Tribolium castaneum: one gene and its partners. The protein of the gene in region 2 binds, or shares a complex with, the protein of the main gene of each other region. Links are inferred from orthologs where the notes say so. Each region holds a gene or a part of one and is shown on either strand. Other genes may lie near its edges. The genes, in order: lipid droplet-regulating VLDL assembly factor AUP1, Ubc7 and E3 ubiquitin-protein ligase AMFR.

Region 1 (3,646 bases), about 5.4 Mb from region 2:
GTTTATTGACAAGAAATGGAGTAGTATAGTGTTTTATAATATTACGTTAGCATTATCCTAACTTTAATGCAAAGTTATAGCACATTGTTCAGCAAAATCAAAAATAAAAAATGTATCATACGTCCCCAGGATTTTTTTGACAAATGATGATTAAGGTTTTGTTTGAAAAAACTGATGCATAATAATTAATTGATAAAGTTATAAAAATCTGCCGATAGAATAATTTTCATGAGTTATATTTATTACGGATTTTTAAGAACGAAAATTGGCGCCTCCAGCATTTTGAACACAATTTCATATTTCAACTAAAAAATAATACCACTGTCTTTATTTAAAAACGTCCAGCAAAGTAAAAAACAAATATGAATAAATAAAACACTTGTTATCCCAGCGCCTCCACCATTTTTATTTTATGTAAAACTCTAGCAAAATTCCTTCAAAAAATAGTTTATTGCTTATTGAAATTTACTCTTCAACTGAGATTTTATTTATTTATTTATTTATTTATTGATAAGTTAGTAATAGGGAAGAATCAGTTAAATTAAAAACACATGATGGCGTGTAATGAAATGTTTATTGTATTGCAACCAAAAATAAATAACAATATTTACAGTTTAAGTAGTAAAAACCGCAAAGAATCGCCAAACTTAAACTTAAACCAAAATTCTGAAAATGTGCCTCAAACTCCACAACTTAACTAAAAAAAAAAAAACTTATCAAAAACAAACAAACATCCTAAAACGGTATCTTTAAGTCGTGTTTTTCAATATATCGCCTCCTTGCATTGGCAATAAGTTGTTCTTTTCTCTCCTGAAATGACTTGTTTCTCTCGTGGGCAGATCGGGCAAAAGACGAAGCAGCTGTATTGAACAAATCCCTATCACTTGTAGTTGAAGTCGAAGGCGATGCTTTCGTACCAGATGCTACAGATGTGGAAGGTTGTGGATTGTTGGAGGTAGAACTAATTTGTTCTGGCACAAAGTGAACTCGGCCTTCGAGGATATTCGTTATAGTTGTGTCTACATTTCGTGTTTTGTCTGCAACAATAATTACCCCAGTTACCACACGAAACGACGTTAATGCCACCCAAAAATTCAGGCAGATAATAGCTCTTTATAGTAGCTTTATAATAGTAACTTTAGTAATTTTTTCCCAAAATTTTTCTTGTATTTGTAGTGTTTTAAAAAAATTTAAACTCTTTTTTGGTCACGTTTCTCGTAAATATTGGATCATTTTTTCTCGGCCTATTAAAGCTCAATATTTCAGCCTTTTTTGCAAGTAACTGGTTGAATTTAGATTAACTTGAAACTTACTCAAGTCCTTGTAAATTGCGTTTAATGGCACATGTGGTAGCACATCTTTAACTTGTGTCGCCATTCTCCTGACTTCACTATCAACGCTTGGCCTAGGCACAGGTGGCGCTCTCTGTTGTTCAACAAGTTGGCGTTTTTCCCACTCTAAGAGATCGGCAGCTGTCAATTCGGGGGTTTCCACCTAAACATTTTATTAAAGCTCTCAGCTTCAACATTAAAACTTGACGCTATAATAAATCACCTTAAGGGCCGACGCGATATTCTGGCGTACGATTTCGGAAAATTCAGCCTCCGCCACTGACTTTTTCTCAAGAGGAGGCAAAAATTTCAATTTATAGTTAGTAAGAGGCGAAAACATGTAAAATAAAACGTCAGTCCAATAAGATGAGCGTAGAGTTGTAACAGACAGGTCCAGAAACGGGCGTTCAATGCTGATACAAACAGGTTGCACTTTATTTGTCAGGGAGAATGGGTAGCTTTTAAATTTTAGGAGTGCTTTGCCATTTGTGATTTTTTCTTCCGGTGTGAAATGTACTGGGATTTGTTGCTCGGATAAAAAGTCGGCTACGTTTTTCTTAAAACTTTCTAAATTCGTTTGAGTACCGAAATAGTGAACTCCTAAGCCTCTAGCCAGGGCTGGGTGCATTTGAGCGCCGGGCTGCAAGTTTTCGTGAAAAAAATTTTGGGGCCCTTATAAAACTTACTGAGACCGATCCTGTAGCCGTATGGACAGCCAAATGGTCAAAAATCGATAAGTTATTGCTAATATACACTTCTACATTTTCTTTTTTGTCGGGATTTTCTACCGTGACTGTTATACCTAACGTTAAACATGCAATTTTATTCACAAGTTTATGGATAATCCGAGTGTCTGATAAACTACATCCGATCAAAACGACACTCAAAGCTAAGATTGTCCGTAAAATAAACAGGACTATTCCAACAGGTAAGTAAAGCACTAGACACAAAATCTTCAACTCATTTTCGGGAAACCTGAAACGAATTTATTGCAACGCTACCACAACCTAACCCAGGGGGATTACCTTTTGAAACAAAAAAGCTGATTGATTTCGATATTATTTGGCATTTTCACATAACAAAAACAAAATTATCTTAAGGTTTTACACTAAATAACATAACAGAGGGTTAGGTTTGTGACGTCAGTGACATTTGACGTGACGTCTCAAAAAAAAAAACATGAGCGGCTCGTTTTTTGGTTAATAATTTTAACAATTTTTTGTTTGAACAACTATTAAAACATCGTTAATGGTATTTCCAACACAAAATTAAGCTTTTTTTAAAATCCAGAACATATTAAAATCACTAGTCTAGTGCGTACTGCTCTGGTAGGTTGGCAGCAGTTGGTAGAAATCCCGCGTTAGTACGCCATGTTTTGTTCTCCAAAAACGTATTCAAAACGCGTTGTGTTGATGAATTTTTGGGATTATTGTTGTTTACCGGCGTTTTTAAAGTGCTAATAATCGTTTCTAATCCCTGTTTTGGTAATTAGTTGTTGGTGTTAGTGGATTTGGTTTTCGTTTGAAGACATCAACATGAACATTTTAAGGAATTTTACAATTCTCGTCAGGTAAATCCAAATAGTCTTAGTTTATTTAACAGGGGCTTAAACATTTTGAGCCTTAAAAACGTAAGAAAAATCGCTTCGAAAGAAGAAAGTCGTGACGCCACAAACGCCTCTTATCACATGATCCTCTTATCACTGTACCCTCCAATCGGCAAAGACTTGAGATATTTTTCACACATCTTCCAAAAAATCAAAAACTTCTTTCTTTTGTAAATTGTCCTGAGTTTCCTAACAACAATACAGCTGGTTGTTATCCATGTGAAAATATTATACATTTTTAGCAGCAGCTCTTAGAAGCTCATACATTTGAATATTTAAAATCTGACAACTCTATCTACGCCACTGTACAAAAAAAACACCAGTCATGTGACAGCGATTCTATTATCTAAAATATACAAAATAATCTCCAGTCAGGCTGAATAAATTAAACTGTCCCGTAAGTCCAACTAGTCTGCGTTTTTGTGTATTTTCCCGTAATTTTTATAGAAAAAAACTAGGAAAAAACGAAACTCCCTAGTTGCGAAACGTCAGATGTCAGTGTCAACAATTAGGTTATTTTCCTTTGTCAGTGTTTGTGGTTTGGCCCCATCACCAAGTTAAAAGTGAATGTCCTGTTGAGTGCCGTGGAAATGGAGCCAATGCAAGGCAATTCCCCAGAAAGCGTCACAACCTGTGGCACTGACGACGAACGGTGTTGTCTCACCCACCAGCCCTCCTGTCACAGCTCCAAGTCGCTCCTAACCGAGGA
Region 2 (2,775 bases):
ATGTTAATTCTTTAACATTGTGTCAATAAACTAAAACATACATGGATGTTTTCTACTCATGAATTTTTTGCAGATTTGCAATCCACAAAGTGGTTCGCAGGGATCTGATCCCCAGTCTTCCATTGCCGAGGAGAATGATCGACTACTTGAACACTCCGCATTATTATTCAGAGCATCTGATAGATGTAGAAGATACAAGTAATGAACAAGTCCCTCCTAGAATCCCTACTCCAGCGATACGACGCGATTATCAGGAAGAAGAAGTCCAAGCACCTATCGTTTCCAACATACCTCTGAACAATTACATTGTTTTGAATAACACAAATCCTCGGCAGTCCTGAGGTTTTCACTTTCTTTTTCATATTTATAGTTATTTATTTTGTTGTTTTGTTAAATTTGTGCAATTAACTTTCAGACCAAAGTTTTAATGTGATTTTAGTATTGTTATGCTTGGAAAGTCAGCTGTAGTTTTTAAGCCAATAACTTATTTATAAGGAAGCAAACGCACATGATAGTAGTTAAGCCAGAAAATAACGTATTTCTTATTAGGTTGTGAATATGTTAGTCACAAAACGGGGTTTTGCGCTAGACAAGACTAAGACTCCTGATGTGAATGGATGCTGCTGTATTTATTTCAATAGCTTAGGTTCCTAACAGACTAAGTTTATGGTTTAACTGTTGTTCAGAAATAATATATTGAAATAAATTTTTTTCTCACTTTAGCGCGGTAACAAGCCAGGCCCTTAGTCTTGAACTTTAAAACTAAACTTTAATCCCCATAAATTATTAAAATTGTAACAAACAGACGTAACTCTCAGTTAAAATTTGTAAAAATTCACGTAGGAATCCCAAGCGTTCGCCTTACAATCCGCTCCGCTATTCTGTTAAATTCCTCCCTATTTTCCCGCCACATTTTCGCAGCATCAACATTTGCTCCACTCTCATCATTAGGTTCTAAAAATCATGTTGAATTTTGTTACTGTTTTGTGAAGAAACGTACCTGCAAGCATGCTGACAACTGAGAGAAGAATTTTTTCAACACTCTGTACAGGAGACCATCTCTCAGCACTTGACTCATAGCCCATAGGGTCATCTCCAGGGGCGTGCAAAATGGAAATACATACTCGCCCATCAGCATAAACTAAAATCTGCTGATTCATCTCCTGTTACAAAAACCCTAATATACTTACTATTAGGGTGAAACATTTCGCAGGTGAACTGCATTTTAGGAGGGCTTAAGGGATAGTCCGGGGGGAAAATGAGTTTAGCTGGGAAAACACCGCCCTCAAAACATGTCCCCTCAGGGCCACTAAAAACCCGTCATATGAAAGTTTCCCTACAAAGACAACTTACGTTATCAACGCTTCCCACTCGAAGAAATTTTCTTCGTTTATTGGACCAGCAATGATACCTTCTGGGGGGTTCAGAGTCAGTTCTAGAAACATAAAACGAATGCAAATAGTTTGAGGTTAGGCTTGCATCTTACGCTTGTACTCGGCCATAAGGCGTCTTAGAGCTGAGCCTGCCATTTTTTATCAATATTTGAACAATATGAGCACCCAAAAATGTGCATTGAATGAATTTAATTATTCTTTATAATATTTTACGTGAGCGTTTGTCAATTCTTAAAAAAAAGTGCACTGCAATCACCAACTCCATCGAACAGCTATAGATCAGACTCAGTAGATGGTACTTTGACAATTTACAGGTTACTATAAGAGCGTAGTTTTGCAGTCATTGCTTAGATGTCACTACCTTAGATTTTATTATTTTTAAATGTTTTATAGATCTCTATAAAAGGTACTTTAAGATTTGACACCCAAATGTCACTACCTACAATTTAAAAAAAAATAGTTTAAGACGTTTTAAAGTTTAAGTTTGAGGCACTTTCTGTTATGTTAGCAACTTGAGATTTTACATGTTTACATAACTTTTGGAGCACTATTACGTCATGTACTTCGATTCCCGATTAAAAAATGTGCAGTGCTACCTCGGTTCCTGATTGAGATACGGGAACGGGACCTATCCCATTCGATAGCCCAGGAAAAATACTACGGCTCAGTAGGGTTTTCACCGCCCCTCTATCTCTAACAGGAACGAAGATATTTCGCATTTTGTGAATTTCAGATTTTCTTCAGTTTTTATAAAAAAATTTGTGAGTGCTAGAAAATTTATGTGAAATTCTGCAAAATTTTAAAAATGGATTTCGTATCAGGATCATAGGAACGCAAAGAGGCCACGAAATTTTTAGCGGCGTTTACATGCAACCAGTTATACATCTGCGTGTATTTTAAGTTATTTATAATTTCTCATTACCCTTTTGCGTTCCTGTGATCCTGATACGAAATCCATTTTTAAAATTTTGCTGAATTTTACTAAAATTTTATTTCATTATCAAAATTTTTATAAAAATTGAAGAAAATCTGCAATTTACAAAATGCGAAATATCTTCGTTTCTGTTGGAGATAGAGGGGTGGTTCTGTCCTTTTGAAAACCCTACCGCCCCGTAGTATTTTTCCTGGGCTATCGAATGGAATAGGTCCCGTTCCCGTATCTCCCTCAGGAACCGAGATAGCACTGCACATTTTTAAATCAGGAATCGAAGTACATGACGTAATTGTGCTCCAAAAGTTACGTGTGCATGTAAAATCTCAAGTTGCTACGACAACAGGAAGTGCCCCAAAATTAACTCGTAAAATATGTTCCAAACAAATCGCATTAAATAAAGACTTTCAACAAAAAAGCCTAAATTTTTTATTAGAGTTTTTTTTCAAC
Region 3 (3,680 bases), on a different chromosome or scaffold from region 2:
GTGCGTTATTTTTCCAGTCCTCGATAAAAAATATCACAAAACAACAAACTTATCGAAACTTAAGTGCAACTTCGTTTTATTATGTAGAATTAAAATATGAATAAATTAAACAATTCTCTTGGTAATTACTCGCACACAACAATGACGTGTCTTTAGAAACGATCGATATAAGAATAACATCGAGCAAATTTTTTCCTCGATAAAAAATGCACTAAAACATGACTTAAATATTTCAACCTTGGAACCTTTCATTTCCTCCAATTTTTACCAGTTATATAATTACAAATCAAGTTTTAATACAACTCATAAAATCAATCCACAAATAATAAGCCACGTCAGTTTTTTTCACAAAGTGCGCATTGAAGACCTCGTAATTTCTGTTATTTTATTATACCTGGTTAACAATAGATATCAGCATATAATTTGTGAGTCATTGATAAGAGAATCTAACCGCCTACGGTACTTTGTTCCATGATTCAGACTTGGACAGAGCACATAGTGCCACTAAATTTTTTAAACGTCTGAGTGGTCAATTAATTCGAAAACAACATTCTCGCTTCGCATGCTTTGAAGGACAAGAGGTCCGGTTTAATCTCAACTTAAAAATAATTTTAAAAACCGAACGGAAAGTTGCCAAAAATAAAACGGCACCCAAATGTTTAAAAAATTCAAGGATTCGAGTTGCTACCCGAAACAATAACTGATAAGAGCTCGATGAAAGCGACGATTAACAAGAAATTTGCTAAAAGATTACAGACTGGTTTTAATTAGATTTAAATCGCGAGTTGGTTTTATCATTCAGTGGACCGAAAGTTGATGTAACTCTACACTTTGTAATGGTTTACATTTGTACTACAACTGTTGATAAATTTGTTTACTATTTATTCCAAACAATCTTAAAGTCGGACTAACAAAATTTTCTCTTGTAAACACAGTTTCACAATTTTGTTTTTATTACCTTTAGGACCTTTTTTAAGAACTTTCGGGGAATTATAACCCTCCACTTGTCTATTTCCATGTTTCACAATTTTCTCAAACGCACCACAGCAATGAACAATCAGTAATGAAACTCTTTATAAAATTTTGTCATTGTCTCTCGAAAAATCGTAGGAAGACTCCTACCATTGAAAATAAATTTCCTTCGATTAAAACAGATTTGTCAGAATTTGAAGTGAGAATAATAGATATTATTCTTATTTATGGTGCTATCACATTCATCTGATGCAACGTTTATGACCTGGAAGCGACTTCGGCACGTGTATGGCTTCATCTGACACTAATAACGGGAAAACAATATTCAAAAAATCGTATTGGGAACAATTTCCAATTAGTAACTATTTGGCCTTGTGCATACATTAATTAATTACACTTCACTCCTTTATCTATACTTCCTAACTAAAGAAATAAACCCAACCTACCCCAAATCACCTTGAAAGTTGACAAAATCGATTTTATTACAACGAAACGAGTTTCGGAAAAGTTGAAGCCTTGCTTTCAAAAAGAATAAAACGGCACATTGCATGTCAAAACCTCAATTTAGTAATTGCAAATGATTGTTATTAGAAAAACTTTCAAGCGATTGTGGAATTGTGTGAAATACCGACTGAGCAATAAAATGGGCAAAAAATATACCGGGCGTCAATGAAATATTCTAAGGCAAATAGAAATCAAGAAGGCTGACTTTCTCGATTGTTTCGTGGCATACTAAACCCATTTTCAGGCACCTTTATGCTCCACCCTCCCCTACGAGAATCACTTTTTGCAGACAATAAAAAATAATTAAATCAAACATTTGTTTTTGACGTCTGTAGACAATTACGAGTCTTTTGTTTTGAAACAGGTCAATGAACAAAACATTTAAATTACTTGCGTAGGAAGAGAAGCAGCCGTTTCCGATATTTTTATTAAAGTCTGACTGAATAATGTGAATTGTTGGCATTGCATTGCGGAATTTAAGCTGCGACATGACCTTTTCCAGCCGAGGCACATTTGTGAAAAATTCAATCGAAAATCTGGATCTCTCACGAATGATTGAACAAATCTTAGAAAATCACGAATAAAATATGAGCAAGCCCGGACTCGATGATGAGATCGGAGACTTGGAATACTTTATTCAAAATAATGATTTATGACGCTTCGGTAATTCGAATCATTAACAATTTAAGAAGCCGTTGGATAACGGGACTTGTTCAGTAACGCTTTGGTGCGTAAAGAATTAATTAAAAATGAGGAATTGATCCGATTTTGACTAAAATTTAATAAAGTGACCACACGACTATTCCAGAGCCGGATTACCGGAAGAAAAAAGTGCATTTGTTGTGTCGTTAGCCGGTCAGTTCTTTTCGTTTCGCGGAACGCAATTTGCGGTAATGTTATCCCAAGATTGCGCCACATTTCCGGTAATCCGGAAGAATCCGGGAGCATCAGCCGGCACTCACCCACACGCAGATGGGCTCCCTTATCATAACACTGAACACGTCGGAGACAAACTGCCCCATGGACCGGCCAAGCGGCACCGAGGCGTTACTTCTGTTGGAGTCTTTGATGTCTTCGGCGACGGCCCCCCAGTCGGGGTCCTTGATCACCTGCGTGGCGTAGTAGACGCACGCCGAAAGGGCCAAGACACTGCCGGCGGAGTACATCCGCAGATTGGGCACAGGCAACCGGTCGAGTAAAATCACTGGCATATTGTCACTGTTTACAAACACGATATGTCACAAATTACAACGCGACTCTTGTGCGGCTTGTCAAAGCGGAATTGGGGCGCGACGATGACATAGTGTGGAGTCGCGGCCGCGAACGATTTGTCACTGGAGATGTGGTGCGCTTGGGGCCACGTTACTTTTGATTACACACTGGTACGTGATGGTTAATTTTATACATGTATTGATCATGTGGTGCGCCAGCTGGTCGGGCCGCCACTGATGCACCTGTCAAATATCCGGATAAAACAGGGCCCTGTAAGGGGAAGGGCGAATTTTAAACGAATTTATATATTTCAGAGCATAAGCCTCGTCCCTTTCTTATGTCTTATCCACTTTTATCATTAAAATACTCCAAACACCTGTTTATCCTTAAATGATGGTGTTTGAACAACTTTTTAATCAAATGTCGGCTACTCACAATTCATGCTTCTTGTATAATTGGTTGCCCCTACATACCATTACCATTGGTTCGAAATGTGCACTTCAAGAGCACTTTATTGCAGGCAAAAAATTTCAGTGTTTATTGTTATTTATGATATAGATGATAGTGGACAATAATGGAAAACAATTTCTTTAAAAGTTAACTTTATTTTGGTCATTATTTTTTTAGTAGTTTTTCTTAAAAATGGAACGGCAATAAAGCTAATTAAAAAAATGTTTTATATTATTATTCTCTACAATTATCTATACACTACACCATGAATAAACAAATAAACAATAAACACTAACATTTTTTGCCTGCATTTGAAGAAAACGTAATTCTAAGATTAATTCAAACCAATGTAACTTTGTGCGGAATCCCTCAATTTTAATTTTTTTCTATATTTGGATTAGTAAAGTGCTTCTTTACAACACTCTGAACTCGAAATTCGCCGACACCCTGTAGAGTACCAAAGTAGCAAAACAATAGAGATTTGAATTATAAATAATTTAATTGAGCGAAAATATTTTGGGATTTCACTTACTAATGAGTAA

Evidence for each region.
Region 1: the proteins of Ubc7 (region 2) and lipid droplet-regulating VLDL assembly factor AUP1 are in contact, whole or in part, in a crystal structure (PDB 7LEW), measured with the Homo sapiens proteins. The link is inferred for Tribolium castaneum from reciprocal best matches to the Homo sapiens genes UBE2G2 and AUP1. Residues at the interface, in NP_003334.2 of Homo sapiens: Tyr13, Thr17, Pro20, Gly23, Ile24, Val25, Ala26, Gly27, Pro28, Met29, Asn30, Glu31, Glu38, Leu40, Met42, Glu45, Glu50, Phe51, Val53, Pro55, Lys156, Val159, Gln160, Ser162, Leu163, Leu165; in NP_853553.1 of Homo sapiens: Ser379, Arg382, Gln383, Leu386, Arg389, Lys390, Leu393, Tyr394, Tyr396, Ala397, Arg398, Arg400, Phe401, Thr402.
Region 3: the proteins of Ubc7 (region 2) and E3 ubiquitin-protein ligase AMFR are in contact, whole or in part, in an NMR structure (PDB 2LXP), measured with the Homo sapiens proteins. The link is inferred for Tribolium castaneum from reciprocal best matches to the Homo sapiens genes UBE2G2 and AMFR. Residues at the interface, in NP_003334.2 of Homo sapiens: Tyr13, Leu16, Thr17, Pro20, Gly23, Ile24, Val25, Ala26, Gly27, Pro28, Met29, Asn30, Glu31, Glu38, Leu40, Met42, Glu45, Glu50, Phe51, Val53, Val159, Gln160, Leu163, Gly164, Leu165; in NP_001135.3 of Homo sapiens: Ser574, Ala575, Arg578, Gln579, Met581, Leu582, Arg585, Lys586, Leu589, Leu590, Ala593, Arg594, Arg596, Phe597, Leu598, Lys600.

Annotation. Positions count from the first base shown.
Region 1 is NC_087394.1:36,253,429-36,257,074, forward strand, and holds lipid droplet-regulating VLDL assembly factor AUP1, read right to left. Parts: upstream 2,513-3,646; 5' UTR 2,401-2,512; coding exon 2,357-2,400; intron 2,307-2,356; coding exon 2,018-2,306; intron 1,972-2,017; coding exon 1,555-1,971; intron 1,495-1,554; coding exon 1,314-1,494; intron 1,038-1,313; coding exon 736-1,037; 3' UTR 556-735; downstream 1-555. Other genes in the region: uncharacterized protein LOC103312234, read left to right, coding at 2,867-2,901; mucolipin-3, read left to right, coding at 3,528-3,646. UniProt on the Homo sapiens protein: Plays a role in the translocation of terminally misfolded proteins from the endoplasmic reticulum lumen to the cytoplasm and their degradation by the proteasome. Plays a role in lipid droplet formation. Induces lipid droplet clustering.
Region 2 is NC_087394.1:30,806,791-30,809,565, forward strand, and holds Ubc7 (ubiquitin-conjugating enzyme E2 G2), read right to left. Parts: upstream 1,650-2,775; 5' UTR 1,530-1,649; coding exon 1,487-1,529; intron 1,436-1,486; coding exon 1,354-1,435; intron 1,310-1,353; coding exon 1,191-1,309; intron 1,142-1,190; coding exon 1,001-1,141; intron 955-1,000; coding exon 836-954; 3' UTR 609-835; downstream 1-608. Other genes in the region: uncharacterized protein LOC662537, read left to right, coding at 74-341. UniProt on the Homo sapiens protein: Accepts ubiquitin from the E1 complex and catalyzes its covalent attachment to other proteins. In vitro catalyzes 'Lys-48'-linked polyubiquitination. Involved in endoplasmic reticulum-associated degradation (ERAD).
Region 3 is NC_087396.1:17,611,333-17,615,012, reverse strand, and holds the start of E3 ubiquitin-protein ligase AMFR, read right to left. Parts: upstream 2,952-3,680; 5' UTR 2,688-2,951; coding exon 2,439-2,687; intron 1,054-2,438; exon of another isoform or gene 1,019-1,053; coding exon of another isoform or gene 959-1,018; intron 1-958. UniProt on the Homo sapiens protein: E3 ubiquitin-protein ligase that mediates the polyubiquitination of lysine and cysteine residues on target proteins, such as CD3D, CYP3A4, CFTR, INSIG1, SOAT2/ACAT2 and APOB for proteasomal degradation.